Linked DNA regions of Saccharomyces cerevisiae S288C. The gene in region 4 interacts genetically with the main gene of each other region. Each region holds a gene or a part of one and is shown on either strand. Other genes may lie near its edges.

Region 1 (3,896 bases), on a different chromosome or scaffold from region 4:
GACTAAGAAAAATTGAAAATAAAGGCTGACAGCAGTAGAAACCATTGTGCTGGCTTAGTGATTTATAAGAATGGTTAATTAGTTTTGTATCCTTTAATTTTCTAGATAGAGCCACAGAGCAAACTAAACAGAAAAGTTATCCATTTCCATTACGCAATGTTGTGCCAACAGATGATTAGAACGACAGCTAAGAGAAGTAGCAATATCATGACCAGACCTATTATCATGAAGAGGTCAGTACACTTCAAAGACGGTGTGTATGAAAATATCCCATTCAAAGTCAAAGGAAGAAAGACACCTTACGCCTTATCTCATTTCGGGTTCTTCGCTATTGGATTTGCTGTTCCATTTGTTGCCTGCTATGTTCAATTGAAAAAGTCAGGTGCTTTTTAAAACACCCCCATAAGTTTGAAGGATAGATGTGTGTACATAGCGTGCTTGGTTGAGACGTTTTAGAGTGTGTTCTTTGCTATTCCTAGGTGCGCATATCATCGTTTTATTTATTTGTACAATTTTCTTTTCATATATTCATAATCCTCTCCTTGTGCCTTCGTATTGAGACGGCGGGAAAGAAGGATCTAAGAAGAACATAATTCGACAAATTTCTTCTAAAATAATACCATATATAGTAACACATAAGAAAATAGAATAACTTTTATAATACAGTAACATACTCTATCTATTCTGAAGGCTGTTTTCGTCACGGGGAATCCTTACACCTATTTACCTAATCCTTCTAAACTTATTGTTTTTCTTGCTACTACCCAACACAGTATTACTTGAGCGAGGTGGCAGATGATTATCACTCTTCAAATGTGTATTAGTCAGTTGCTGAGTTGAATTGGACCGCTTTAGTATATTTGATTTCGGCAGTTTACTTTGTTGCAATGAGTTCGATGAAGATGAAAAGGCAAGACCACTGCTTCTTACGTGTGAGCTCAAGTTGTGTGTTATTCTATTCGAACCGCTGATAGTATTATTTCTCTTCCTTGTTATTTTTAATTTTTCTAAAGCTGAGGGAAACTGCGTCGAGGTACTTGTTAAAGGTGTATTTGAATGATGCAATTCTTTGAGGTTACTATTTGGTAAAATAAGCCTATTTGATGATGAAGATAGAGGCGAAGAGGGTTGGAGAGAAGCTGAAGATAATCTTGATATATTTTTGGAAGATACAGAGCCATTATTCGTGAGGATGTCAAGATTTGGCAACTTTCCATCGAAGCCTTTTGCAACACGCACAGGAGAGAACGAAAATCTGTTCAGATTGGTTGATTCTGCAATAGTCGAAATATTAGGTAGATTACTATTTGCGTTTGGGTTCATTCCAGGAGGAGGAATGCTATTTCTATTAGGATTATTCAATGTCTCCATAAAGAGAGGCTGGTTTTTATTTACACGACCACTTGTAGAGGGAGTGACAGTTCCATTGTTATTTTTTGAAGAATTTCTCAAAGAAGAGTTTTTTTTCAACTTTTTAATAAAGGATTTGGCTTCGAATTCTTCTAAACTATTATCATCAACTGTCAGATCAACGGTTGGAGGGGGCTGGTAATGATTTTGATGGCTATTTCTTGTTGGTAGCACACCAACTGACATCGAAGAAACATTGTTATGATTCAAAACTGACTCTAATTCCTGTATTCTTTTCTTAAGAATCGCCATAGAATCCAACTCTATTTTGGCCTGATATAGCAGCTGCTGTTGTCTTGCACATTTTTCTCTCAACTTTAAACAATGATTTTGATAGTATTGACACTGTTTCGAAAGCCCATTCAGTTGGAATTGGGAAACATTATATAACGACTCCAAAAGTGGGGGCAGTGGCTCAAAAAAAATCCTAATGTCGGTAGGCAGCTGTTTAGATTCCACAAGGTTAATGATGGAGATATCGCTCGAACGGCATATAGGACACACCTTTGATGTTAATGGAGAATGCTGCGAACAGAGGATATGAGCACATGAGGTCAGCCTCAATGGATCTCCATGCGATGTTCTTCTGTGGCAAACACCACAGTAAACAAAGGGCTGTTCAAAAATAGAATCCGGCATTATATATTTCTTTGGTGATATCAATGATAAACGTCTTACCTGTTTCAAGCACTTTTGTTTTTTCTCTCTCATGCTCTTCGTGTTAGTTTGGGGAATGAACACGATCGCCAAATAGCCGCCCATCCCTTGTTGGCCGCCGCACAAAGCGTCAACTTCACAGACGTTTGGCAAACTTCCACAATGCTTCCTTTTCAGATGGAGTAGCCTCCCCGCAAGCTGCCCACCTAATTTTTAACTGCTGGTCCACAAGAAAGACGTATCCAGAAAAGACATTATTGCAAAAGAGCTCTTCCCTGACGGAAAATGGCCATTGGCCTCTAGAACATTCGAAATAAAATGGCTGGCGCCAGGATGGAACGCGATTGGCCCAACGAGCAAGCGTTTTCACTAGAGCACTTTTCACAGCGTTTTCTACAAGATTGACCTCGATGATTTGGACGTTACTGTCATTTAAACTTAAACGCGCATCAGCTTCAGTCAAGTAGTCAGTTTTTTTGTTATCGTCTACGATTCCTTGGAAGTATGAACTACTCAACTTATCGCCAGATGCTGTACTAAATAACCTCACTATACTGGTTTTACCCCTTAACATATCCTCGATATTCTGTTGTTTCGTACCATCCATTGCCGTTCCTATCAAATGAGGAAAAAACAAAGCTTTATCTTCTTTCCAATATGAAACTGGAGCTATAAACAATTTCCCCTTTGTCTTTTGGAAGACTTGCACGTCATAAAGTCCAGATTTGCTGAATTCAACGGCCAACTCTTTAACTCTGTGGTTTGTCTTTTCCGAATCAAACATATCCCTCAAAGAGTTCCCCTGGGAGTATTTGGTGCTTTTCCTTGGTGCTTGTGTTAAGCCTATTGGCTTGACCAGTTGTTTGATCTGGTATTCCTTTGGGGAAGCCGTTGCCATCATAGGCTTGAGGAATTTATCCAAGAAGGACATCCGCGTAAGCGTGGGATGGTAAAACCTTTTAAAAGTGCCCTGCATAGTTAGTTTAAGTTACTCTGATATCGCAAATAAACAAATAACCTGACTTTTACTATATGCTGAAATAGTCCTTTTTAAATATGCACTCTTCCATATTTTTCTGAAGGCGAATCAAATAAATGGTAATAAAAATTTAAATTTCAAAAACGATTTCTAGGCAAGGATATTGTGCGTAAGGAACAAAACAAACGTTTATAGTAGTTTTTATATAGCTGCATAGTGATGTGGCGAGAACTATTAAATATTTCTTACTTCGAAGTTTTATGTACATCGCCTCTGCCTTGCCTTTACACTTTTTAAATTCTTGATTCTGCTCTAGTACAATCTTCACCACTGTTACAAGATCAGGCGTCTCTTTACTAATACCAAGAAGAGGGTGAGATACATGATATTTTATTAAACTGATATTGCCTTGGGTCGGCTGTAATGCAATTAGTCAGGTGGAATCTAATATCACCTAGGGCCTTGGTGAAAATTCTCAGCAAAATGCGGGTTGAGGGTGAGAGAGGGTCCTGGGGAAGGTGCACGCCCTTTTCACAAGAGGTGCGTAAGAGAGAAACAAGCCTTCGACTCTACAGCCCTTCTAACACCGCCACTCAATCAATTAAAAGCAGTCGCACCCATCCAAAAGTAGAATTACATAAACTAGAGGAGAAAAAGCAGCCAGTACAAAGGAGAATTACTTCATTGACCAACGGATATTCTGTGAGTGTTTATATTTAAGATTCTGCTTTTGATTAGAGAAGGTTGAGAACCATACAGTTTGTCAAACCATGGCTCCAAAAATTTCAATATCCTTAAACCCACCGTACAACGGGGAGTTTTATAGCTCTAATGATCAAATGTCAGGGAT
Region 2 (3,328 bases), on a different chromosome or scaffold from region 4:
AGCTTAATTAAGGGACTGTTTCATACCTTCAGATCCAATATACTGAATATCAGGCAATTGATTTCCCTTGTAAATATACAATATAAATAGTTGTAAGAAGAGGTGATATGTTAAGTTTCCATTTTGACGTATTCCTCATTCTAGAATGATTGTAAGCTCTCAACAGTCACTTGTGTGCCAAAATATTATACCTACTTCATACATTTTCAATTAAGATGCAGTTACTTCGCTGTTTTTCAATATTTTCTGTTATTGCTTCAGTTTTAGCACAGGAACTGACAACTATATGCGAGCAAATCCCCTCACCAACTTTAGAATCGACGCCGTACTCTTTGTCAACGACTACTATTTTGGCCAACGGGAAGGCAATGCAAGGAGTTTTTGAATATTACAAATCAGTAACGTTTGTCAGTAATTGCGGTTCTCACCCCTCAACAACTAGCAAAGGCAGCCCCATAAACACACAGTATGTTTTTTGAGCCTTCCCCCCCAAGTTTCCATTTCATCGTTCGTGACACTTATAAACTAGTGTAAGATTATTTACCTATATATAATTTGATAATAATAGCAAAGAATAAGAAAAAAAAACAATCATGATAAGTAAAATAGCAAGTGTTCCGGTACGGAACAACCAATTGCTTTTCACATCAAATGTCCTCAAATCCAATTTCTTCCTGTAAAGATTTCGTTAGTATATTCAAAAGAAAAGGTCTCGAAAAATGTTCAAAATACATACCAAAAATTCATTCATATTTTTCGGGCACACTGAGTCCTTTATTGTAGCAATTAGGTTTTTGCAAATCTTTGATCTCTTCGTGATTTCTTTTTGTAGCAGCGTATCTTCAGACATTATCCGCTTGACAATCTCATCATTTGCTGGATCCCAATCATCCTGTAGACTTTGTAATTTTGATTCAATCTTTTTCAACTCGTTTTCTTCGTTTTCAATGATTGTTAGGAGATCTTCATTTTCAGGTTCTTTAGTTACAGAGTCAAGAGCGTCTTTGGCCGTTGATTTATCTCTCTCTAGTTCTATTAAATCATTTCTCAGTTGCAATACAGTTTCAAAATCAAACTGAGAAGGATCAATATTGCTTGGTAATGCTGTATCTTGTTCATTACAAGAGTAAATTATAATCTTTCCGAAGGTTTTAGACACTATGCGTTTCTCGTTAACGAGATTTTCTAATGCTTTGGTTGCTGTTGTTTTTGTCACTTTATTGTGCAAATTCTGAACTATATCATTTACAGAAAATGGTTTATATTGTGACACCAAGTAATCTTCTATTAATTGTTCAGCTGATAAAATACCCGGGGTACAATTGTTAGTAATGGCGGTATTTGATGAGCATGTAAAAAAATACTTAACCTTCTGAGCCTTTTGCCTGAATGGCTCTATCGTTTGATTTCTTTTTCGGTGCCATATCTTTCAAATAGAGCCTGGTCAGTTCACGTTAGCTTTATTATTAATATTTGTTAGAAACAACTCTTAAAACGCTTCTCTTTTTCGGTCGCGTAAAAGGATAATATTATTAATGGAAAATTTAGCCGCCGAGGACATAATCTTTTGAATCTTCATAAAAAAGCAACTGTAAGCAATGTAAAGTCCAAAACTTTACCATTTTTTGTTTGATCTTGCATGAGAATACCGGGTGAGCCTAACATGAAAAAGATAGCTAGCCACTATTGTAAAAATGTGATAAAGGATACGAGACTCAAATTCACTTGGATAACTATCTAGCAGGTTTTGAGTCAGCCATATTAGGTTACATACCGGTCCAAACCTATATAGAGCCATTGTACGATCCGACTACAAGTTATTTATATGGAAATTAACAGATTGTTTGGAGTCACCGTACGCAGCTCACATAGATAGCTTATTGTGCAAAATATAATTAAATAAAGATGCAAGATGGATGATAACAAGAATTATAAGCAAAGGATTATTGATGTTCCGAATAATTCAATTCACTATATAACAGGTGTTGGGTATATGTATGTGATCTACCTGGTACGTGTAATTTAAAAAATAAAATAATTGGGAAAACTACGGAATTACGTTTGCGCATTGCGTCCGAAGATCAGCACCTCAGATAAAAAATCAACTTTCGCCGTGGTAGACTTCGAGATACTCTGCTAATAGCGATGCTCGATATTACTACCAATGTATGTGAAGGTTTTGATTGTATTCAATCCTTTTTCAGATAATTTACCCTTGCTTTAAGCTGCGTATATCAAGTGCATTTGCTGTCTGCTGATGTCAATTAATTGTATCAATTGGCCAGCTTCGGATAACGAACGATTATCGCGCGAGTGAAATAGACTGGGTCGACCCTTTTGAATTATCACGGCATCGCAATATCTTTGGAGCAGTACAACATTTACTTTTCTTGACCAATCCTAAGAGTTTGTATACATTTTTTGTAAACTGTAGTACGGCGTTAGAGTCAAGAAGTAGCTTATTATATCCTGTGCACAAATTTCAAAGTTTTTGCCGCCATCATATGGCTGAAAGAGGGCAGCAAATTCCATCTCGTTATTTTTGCATATCAACGCAAGCGTTACACAAGATATGGTTAGAAGCAACGAGCAGAAATTCATTACAATGACAGAAATTAATTGCCGTTGCAACATTGTTTTGCCTCTATCGCGTGTGTTTCCTTGAAGGCAGTGTATCACTGAATGTCATCAGTAATGTTACCAAGAATGAACATCCTCCAAATACTCATAGAAACCCGTTTAAAATTCGGGAATTGATGACTTCCTTATGGTAGGCAAGTGTGATTTACAGACTTTCCATGCGATGAACCCCTATTTTAATCGTATGGATCACCAGATCAAGAATTGGCAGTTCTGTCCCATTATTAGAATAGCGAGAAAACGGATGCTTTCATAATTTTTGATTGTTGCTTCATCCTATTTCACCCTATTTAATAGCCTTCTGTAGAAATATCGTGTATGGTTCCTTTATCATTGCTTAGCATAGCTGCCACTAACCTACATTAATCGACTTTTTCCCGGAAAATTAGCGGGTAATCGATTTTTCTAGATGGCATTGTGGAGGAAAGTAAGTGCGTGGGGTGTGTAAGTTGCCGTACAATGCAGTATAACCAGTAGGACTGGAAGGTAGTCAGTACAGTAAGACTAGAAGTTAGCGAGCCAGCACGTTTCCTTCGCGCCGGTTTTTTTTTTTATTTTTTATTTAATTTTTTTCAAAACTTGACGTGTAGAAGATTGACGTCTGGGGTTGGCCCCATGAATTTTTTATCTATTTCTTCCCTGTGCCTAATTCGTAATATCTCCACTGATAGCGTAAAAAAGCGCTTTA
Region 3 (4,522 bases), on a different chromosome or scaffold from region 4:
TGACTTCTTGATCTTTGATGTTGGATGATAGATAATAGCCCTTCTCAAAAAGAGTTAACTTATGATACAAAAACGCACAAAAGCCAGTAGAGGCCCTAGGAAAAAGGAAATTTGTGTATACTAAAGACAAGGCCATAAATGGCGGTAAATGAACGCAATTATGATCAAAAAACTCAGGAAAATGCTTCTCATCTAGGTTAAAACACAGTATGGTCGTATTGATGACAAGGGAAAAAGAGACCAAAATGGTTTGCAGGATGTTGTTCTCTAAAACAACGCTTTTTTCCTTGTAAATCAAATACCTCAAGGAATAAAACGTCAACAACAAATTCAAAACCTGCGCAAGCACTTTAATCTCGCACAAAGGAACTTTAGATATTAACTCACTGTCAGTGTAATATGATATTGGGTGGAATTCAGTCTCTACAAAGTTTCTTAGTTTTTTACAATTTTCGGCTAAGTCTGGAAATGCGCTTCTATCATAAATTTGATCTAGCATTGGTCGAGCTAATCTTAAAAACCTTTTAAGCTTGCCCATGCAGGAATTTGACTGATCGAAAAAAACCGTCGATGAATAATTGTTTGTATTTTTAGGCAACCTCTCACCATTCTCGCATTCATCGACTTGAAAATAGGATGAGTTAATCGCCAAACATCTCCCAATATTTAAAGAAACATTGAAATCTGATAATATAATCCAAACCCACAAATTTTCCAAACTTTCCATACTCCCCACAATATTTTCTTGATTTTTGTATATTTCTCTTATATTCAAGTGTAAACCCAGCATAATTGCCGTGCTGCATAATAAGTCAACTAGACTAATCATATGCGAATCGTCTCCACACGCCCAAATTAGTTCTCGATGATAGTATTTCAATAAGAGAAATTGAGCGCGTTCAATGAAATATACTTTAGCTGTTGACAGTCCCGTCAGCATGATGAGAAATTTCTCTATCTCTTCCGGAGTATTTTTGTAGAAATGGCGAATACACAGTATCATCAAAATAACTCCAATCTTATAATAGTTTTTCTTTGTCGATGGTAATAACTTTTCAATCCGCCTTTCACCGTTGGGTAACAGTTCGTCACTTGGAAGAAACGAGGAAGTGAAATCGTTTATTATTTTGGTTTTATCTAATACTTCACTAACTTCATTAGTTTCCAGTTCAGTATTGAAAAAGTCTGTTATAATCTTTGACGATTGTTCAAAAGATGGCAAAACGTTACAAACCTGTTGCAAGATGTCAGAGCCTGTCTTTTCTAACGGCGGTCCCTCTAGGAGTTGAGTTTCTGGCTTCATTGTCCATTTATGCCTAGCCTTCCATCTGTTTCTCTCGATTTTCACTTTGGACCAGAGCTGATTATACGTGTTTACAAACCGATTATCATCGTTTGAGAGATGCGTTCTCAAAGATGTAGGACCATATACTATTCTTCTTCCCGAGCCTTTACATTGTAAATAGTAAAAATTAGCGTAAGGGTTCCTAAATGGGCTCGTACTAAGCGCTACATCCTTCTCCGTCAACTCTTTGTCATCTAGTCTTTTCTCTAAATCCTCAATCCTTTTCAACAGTTCAATGTTCGGAGTACTGCCAAATAACTCTTTTGTTTCTATTTTGTGGGTGAATTTCTCTGTATACAGGCAACCAGAACGACCCCTCGTCTTACAAGTTGAGCACATTGGCTTCTGCTGGTCGCAACGTAATTTCCTTTTCCTACAAAAAGCGCATGACTTTATTGGTTTCCGTCTCTTCTGCGCCTTCTTTACAGTTTCCTCCGATGGGGAAGCTCTATCCTGTAAACTACCCCGCTTACTCATTAACAACTCCCTTTACCAGGACCATTCAATGTGCTTTCCCCTCTGACTTTCTATACTCTTGCCGTTATTATTACAATACCACCTGGCATTTGTCATTTTATCGCCTTGTAAACCATGGGTGTCACCCTACTGCCGAGCCTGAAAAAAACGTGCTGCAAGGGTCTTGAAGCAAAAAGATGATTTAACGGAAGAAAGGCATACAAGAAGGTGAAAATTCGTGTTTAACCCATCTGATACTTTCCCTTGTCTAACGTACTGATCCTGGAGGTTATCAAGAACACAAAAGTCTAGCAGCGAAAAGTACGCGAAGAATCTACTATAGATAATGGTGGTGCAGAAAAAACTTAGGGCTATCTTGACCGATGAAGGTGTATTGATCAAATCGCAATCACACCATATGTTCAATAAGCATGGTCAACTCAGAAGCGGAGATTCTTTATCCTTGTTGAGCTGCTTGTCCTGTCTGGATGATGGAACTTTGAGCTCTGATGGAGGTTCTTTTGATGAGGATGATTCCCTGGAACTGTTGCCTCTTAATACTACCATTCCGTTCAACAGAATTTTGAACGCAAAATATGTGAATGTCGGTCAGAAAGGCTTCAATAATGGCAAAATTTCTTCGAATCCTTTTCAAACGGAAAATCTGAGTTCTTCGTCTGAAAATGACGACGTTGAGAATCATAGTTTGAGCAATGATAAGGCTCCTGTAAGCGAATCACAGTCATTTCCCAAAAAAGACAAGTGGGATACAAAAACGAACACTGTGAAGGTGTCTCCCGATGATTCACAGGATAACTCACCATCTTTAGGGATAAAAGATAATCAACAGTTAATTGAGTTAACTTTTGCTGTACCCAAGGGCCATGATGTTATACCACAAAAATTAACCTTGTTAATAGATCACGTTTCTAGGAAATCGAGAGCAAATACCGGAGAGGAGAACATTTCTTCTGGTACTGTGGAAGAAATCCTGGAAAAAAGTTATGAAAATTCCAAGAGAAACAGATCGATATTAGTCATTATTAATCCCCACGGTGGTAAAGGTACTGCTAAAAATTTATTCCTGACAAAAGCAAGGCCAATACTAGTGGAAAGTGGCTGCAAAATAGAAATTGCATACACAAAATATGCCCGTCACGCCATCGATATTGCCAAAGATTTAGATATCAGCAAATACGATACCATTGCATGTGCCTCGGGTGATGGTATTCCATACGAAGTAATTAATGGGCTTTATAGAAGACCCGACAGAGTGGATGCGTTCAATAAACTAGCCGTAACTCAGCTACCTTGCGGTTCAGGAAATGCTATGAGCATTTCATGTCATTGGACAAATAACCCATCGTACGCCGCTCTGTGCCTTGTCAAATCCATTGAAACAAGAATAGACTTAATGTGTTGTTCCCAACCTTCTTATATGAACGAATGGCCAAGATTATCCTTTTTGAGTCAGACGTACGGCGTTATTGCAGAATCTGATATTAACACTGAATTCATCAGATGGATGGGTCCCGTTAGGTTTAATTTGGGTGTAGCATTCAACATTATCCAAGGTAAGAAATATCCCTGCGAAGTTTTCGTCAAATATGCTGCCAAATCTAAAAAGGAATTAAAAGTTCATTTCTTAGAAAATAAAGATAAAAACAAAGGATGTTTAACCTTCGAACCAAATCCTAGCCCAAACTCTTCGCCGGATTTACTATCTAAAAACAATATCAACAACAGTACAAAAGATGAACTTTCACCGAATTTTCTCAACGAGGACAACTTTAAATTAAAGTATCCGATGACGGAACCAGTACCTAGAGACTGGGAGAAAATGGATTCAGAGCTAACTGATAACTTAACAATCTTTTACACAGGGAAAATGCCGTATATTGCTAAGGACACCAAATTTTTTCCCGCTGCTTTACCAGCGGATGGTACCATTGATTTAGTCATAACGGATGCAAGAATCCCAGTGACAAGAATGACACCAATTTTATTATCCTTGGATAAAGGTTCTCATGTATTAGAGCCAGAAGTTATTCACTCAAAAATATTGGCTTATAAGATTATACCAAAAGTGGAGTCAGGTTTATTTTCAGTGGATGGTGAAAAGTTTCCTTTGGAACCCTTGCAAGTGGAAATAATGCCCATGTTATGCAAGACGTTGCTAAGGAATGGTAGATATATCGATACAGAGTTTGAATCCATGTAGATTAACGTTATATTTTCCTTCAAAAATGATTTTTTTGTAAAAAGAAATACTACATCGAAAAGAAAAGGCGATATAATGTTTCTATCATCGGAGTATGGTTTATATTCCATTTTTGTTTTCATTATAATTATACATCCCCAGTTATATATCATTAATACGTAACAATATTATGAGTTGGTCTTTATTATCTAATATAATTAAAAAATTTACACTATTACATCATTTTCAACCAATAGGATATATATATAAATATATACATATATGCACATTAAATCATTCACTTGGAAGTTGCGTCCTTCAAGCTAACTATTCTATTCAAAATAACCTTAGAAGTCGTACTCTCTTTATCCAGAGTGAAATAACCTACTCTCATAGCTTGGAATCTACACACTTCTTTGGAATCCTTATCTTCTTCAACATAAAATTCCGAGTTTTTAACAGAATCAACGACCCATGGACTGTTCTTGACAACGTCCCCGAAGTTATGTTCCATGACAGAT
Region 4 (4,386 bases):
TATCAAAGTGAAGACCGCTCGCTGGTATCGAAGTATTTCTTAAAGCCATTTTGGCAAAGATTTTGTCACATATTTCCCACGTGGATGGCGCCCAACATCATCACATTATCAGGATTTGCTTTTATAGTTATCAACGTGTTGACTGTATTCTATTACGATCCAAACCTTAACACAGATACGCCTCGCTGGACATATTTTTCTTACGCTTTAGGTGTATTCCTATATCAAACGTTCGATGGATGTGATGGTGTACACGCTCGCCGTATCAATCAATCAGGACCCTTAGGAGAACTATTCGATCATAGTATTGATGCCATTAATTCTACTCTGTCTATTTTCATCTTCGCATCCGAAACTGGAATGGGATTTTCGTATAACTTAATGTTATCCCAATTTGCGATGCTGACGAATTTTTACTTAAGTACTTGGGAAGAGTACCATACACACACATTATACTTAAGTGAGTTTTCTGGACCCGTGGAAGGCATCCTGATTGTTTGCGTTTCATTGATACTGACAGGTATATACGGAAAACAGGTAATCTGGCATACCTACTTATTTACAATTACAGTTGGTGATAAGGTAATTGATGTAGACACTCTAGATATTGTTTTTTCCCTAGCTGTTTTCGGTTTGGTTATGAACGCATTGTCTGCGAAAAGAAACGTGGATAAGTATTATAGAAACAGCACTTCTTCGGCCAACAATATCACGCAAATTGAGCAAGATAGTGCTATAAAAGGTCTTTTGCCCTTTTTTGCCTATTATGCAAGCATTGCTTTACTAGTGTGGATGCAACCAAGCTTTATTACACTCTCTTTCATCCTTTCCGTTGGTTTCACGGGAGCATTTACCGTCGGAAGAATAATCGTTTGCCATTTAACTAAGCAGAGCTTTCCCATGTTCAATGCACCCATGTTAATTCCTTTGTGCCAGATAGTATTGTACAAAATATGTCTATCCCTTTGGGGAATTGAGTCTAATAAAATCGTCTTTGCCCTATCTTGGCTTGGGTTCGGTCTCTCACTAGGTGTTCACATTATGTTTATGAATGACATTATCCATGAATTTACTGAGTACCTGGACGTTTATGCTTTATCCATCAAGCGCTCCAAGCTGACATAAATCGCACTTTGTATCTACTTTTTTTTATTCGAAAACAAGGCACAACAATGAATCTATCGCCCTGTGAGATTTTCAATCTCAAGTTTGTGTAATAGATAGCGTTATATTATAGAACTATAAAGGTCCTTGAATATACATAGTGTTTCATTCCTATTACTGTATATGTGACTTTACATTGTTACTTCCGCGGCTATTTGACGTTTTCTGCTTCAGGTGCGGCTTGGAGGGCAAAGTGTCAGAAAATCGGCCAGGCCGTATGACACAAAAGAGTAGAAAACGAGATCTCAAATATCTCGAGGCCTGTCCTCTATACAACCGCCCAGCTCTCTGACAAAGCTCCAGAACGGTTGTCTTTTGTTTCGAAAAGCCAAGGTCCCTTATAATTGCCCTCCATTTTGTGTCACCTATTTAAGCAAAAAATTGAAAGTTTACTAACCTTTCATTAAAGAGAAATAACAATATTATAAAAAGCGCTTAAAATGAATGAAATGGAAAACACAGATCCAGTATTACAGGATGATCTCGTATCCAAATATGAGAGGGAATTAAGCACAGAACAGGAAGAGGATACGCCTGTTATCCTTACGCAGTTGAATGAAGATGGCACCACTTCGAATTATTTCGACAAAAGGAAACTAAAAATTGCCCCTAGATCAACACTACAGTTCAAAGTGGGACCTCCATTTGAATTAGTGAGAGATTATTGTCCAGTCGTTGAGTCTCATACCGGAAGAACACTAGATTTACGAATTATTCCAAGAATTGACAGAGGGTTCGACCATATTGATGAAGAGTGGGTAGGTTATAAAAGAAATTATTTTACCTTAGTATCAACGTTTGAAACGGCAAATTGTGATTTGGATACTTTTTTAAAGAGCAGTTTTGATCTTCTCGTTGAAGACTCTTCAGTAGAAAGCAGATTAAGAGTGCAATATTTCGCTATCAAAATAAAAGCTAAGAATGACGACGACGACACGGAAATCAATCTCGTCCAGCATACAGCGAAACGCGACAAAGGTCCTCAATTTTGTCCTTCAGTATGTCCGTTGGTGCCTTCCCCTTTGCCAAAACATCAAATCATAAGAGAAGCTTCAAATGTTCGAAATATCACTAAAATGAAAAAATACGATTCCACTTTTTATTTGCACAGAGACCACGTTAATTATGAAGAATATGGAGTGGACTCTTTATTGTTTTCCTATCCAGAAGATTCTATTCAGAAAGTTGCCCGTTATGAAAGAGTTCAATTTGCTTCATCAATTAGCGTGAAGAAACCATCCCAACAAAATAAACACTTTAGCTTGCATGTAATTTTAGGTGCAGTGGTAGATCCAGATACCTTTCATGGGGAGAATCCCGGAATTCCTTATGATGAACTGGCTTTAAAAAATGGATCAAAAGGGATGTTTGTGTATTTGCAAGAAATGAAAACGCCTCCTCTTATTATTAGAGGAAGATCACCTTCTAACTATGCGTCATCTCAGCGAATAACTGTGAGAACACCGTCGAGTGTCAATTCCTCACAAAACAGCACAAAAAGAAAAATGCCATCAATGGCGCAGCCGTTAAATGAAAGTTGCTTAAATGCAAGACCTTCGAAAAGGCGATCCAAAGTGGCGCTAGGTGCACCGAACTCTGGGGCCTCCATCTCGCCTATCAAATCTCGTCAATCCACACCAATGGAAGCTTCGAAGGAAAATGAGGATCCGTTCTTCAGGCCAAATAAAAGGGTGGAGACTCTTGAACATATCCAGAACAAACTGGGTGCTTTGAAAAATCAATGTCCAGATTCCTCTCTGAAATATCCGAGTTCATCTTCAAGAGGTATGGAAGGGTGTTTAGAAAAGGAGGATTTAGTTTACTCAAGTAGTTTTTCTGTTAATATGAAGCAAATCGAACTGAAACCGGCACGCTCTTTTGAACATGAGAATATTTTCAAAGTAGGCTCATTAGCATTCAAAAAAATCAATGAATTACCTCATGAAAATTATGATATAACAATAGAGAAGAAATCAATGGAACAGAATTATCTAAGACCAGAGATAGGCTCACGTTCTGAATGCAAAACAAGCTATGGTAACGAACTCTCCCTTTCAAATATTTCTTTCTCTATACTACCTAACTCAGCAGAAAATTTTCACTTGGAAACTGCACTTTTCCCAGCTACGGAAGAGGATGTGCCAAGGACATTTTCAAGAATATTAGAAACAGGTTCGTTTCAAAATTATTATCAAAAAATGGATGCAGAAAATGCAGATAGGGTATATTCGAAAGGGGTCAAGTTGATTGCAAGCGGTACTCTACCATCTGGTATATTTAATAGGGAAGAATTGTTTGAGGAAGATAGTTTCTATAAGTATTAAATAAACTAATGATTTTAAATCGTTAAAAAAATATGCGAATTCTGTGGATCGAACACAGGACCTCCAGATAACTTGACCGAAGTTTTTTCTTCAGTCTGGCGCTCTCCCAACTGAGCTAAATCCGCTTACTATTTGTTATCAGTTCCCTTCATATCTACATAGAATAGGTTAAGTATTTTATTAGTTGCCAGAAGAACTACTGATAGTTGGGAATATTTGGTGAATAATGAAGATTGGGTGAATAATTTGATAATTTTGAGATTCAATTGTTAATCAATGTTACAATATTATGTATACAGAGTATACTAGAAGTTCTCTTCGGAGATCTTGAAGTTCACAAAAGGGAATCGATATTTCTACATAATATTATCATTACTTCTTCCCCATCTTATATTTGTCATTCATTATTGATTATGATCAATGCAATAATGATTGGTAGTTGCCAAACATTTAATACGATCCTCTGTAATATTTCTATGAATAATTATCACAGCAACGTTCAATTATCTTCAATTCGGCTTCAGTACTGTATGAAATACTCGCTAACATTTTCTTTATTCTATAATAGCACAGTGACACTTAAACGTCAAACGTGGCGCACATTAATATACGATGTATGCATTTGGCTTGACACTGCTGTAATAAGGAACATCATCATCCGTCAACTAGTAGTCACATTAGTAGTGTATTATCACATGGTGTGTAAGAACATTACGTAAAGATTGAAAAAAAGTCATCAAAAATAAAGGAAGCTGAAACGCAAGGACTAGTAGTGTAATAGAATAATATTGTGTAAAAGTATCGATACCCTTTTTGGAATTATTGTATCTTCGAGGGTGGCTTTTAATATATTTTTGAAAACCTAATATTATAACCTTTCACAACAACGAAATCCCAA

Evidence for each region.
Region 1: of NDT80 (region 4) and CST9, changing one enhances a phenotype caused by changing the other (phenotypic enhancement), as found in Saccharomyces cerevisiae (2 studies listed by BioGRID).
Region 2: of NDT80 (region 4) and HOP2, a mutation in one rescues a mutant of the other (synthetic rescue), as found in Saccharomyces cerevisiae (one study listed by BioGRID).
Region 3: mutations in NDT80 (region 4) and LCB4 together harm fitness more than expected from each alone (negative genetic interaction), as found in Saccharomyces cerevisiae (2 studies listed by BioGRID).

Annotation. Positions count from the first base shown.
Region 1 is NC_001144.5:906,226-910,121, reverse strand, and holds CST9 (SUMO ligase CST9), read right to left. Parts: upstream 2,173-3,896; coding exon 724-2,172; downstream 1-723. Other genes in the region: COX8 (cytochrome c oxidase subunit VIII), read left to right, coding at 157-393; ATP10 (Atp10p), read right to left, coding at 2,204-3,043; ART10 (Art10p), read left to right, coding at 3,817-3,896. UniProt on the Saccharomyces cerevisiae protein: Component of the synapsis initiation complex (SIC) necessary for the synaptonemal complex assembly. Stabilizes the ZIP2 component to the chromosomes.
Region 2 is NC_001139.9:433,721-437,048, reverse strand, and holds HOP2 (Hop2p), read right to left. Parts: upstream 1,425-3,328; coding exon 1,370-1,424; intron 1,300-1,369; coding exon 737-1,299; intron 675-736; coding exon 648-674; downstream 1-647. Other genes in the region: AGA2 (Aga2p), read left to right, coding at 216-479. UniProt on the Saccharomyces cerevisiae protein: Required for proper homologous chromosome pairing and efficient cross-over and intragenic recombination during meiosis. Stimulates DMC1-dependent homologous strand assimilation required for the resolution of meiotic double-strand breaks.
Region 3 is NC_001147.6:651,510-656,031, reverse strand, and holds LCB4 (sphinganine kinase LCB4), read left to right. Parts: upstream 1-2,147; coding exon 2,148-4,022; downstream 4,023-4,522. Other genes in the region: YRM1 (Yrm1p), read right to left, coding at 1-1,822; GLN4 (glutamine--tRNA ligase), read right to left, coding at 4,300-4,522.
Region 4 is NC_001140.6:354,957-359,342, forward strand, and holds NDT80 (transcription factor NDT80), read left to right. Parts: upstream 1-1,604; coding exon 1,605-3,488; downstream 3,489-4,386. Other genes in the region: EPT1 (bifunctional diacylglycerol cholinephosphotransferase/ethanolaminephosphotransferase), read left to right, coding at 1-1,125; YHR125W (uncharacterized protein), read left to right, coding at 3,902-4,207. UniProt on the Saccharomyces cerevisiae protein: Transcription factor required for successful completion of meiosis and spore formation. Gets activated after completion of meiotic recombination at the end of prophase I.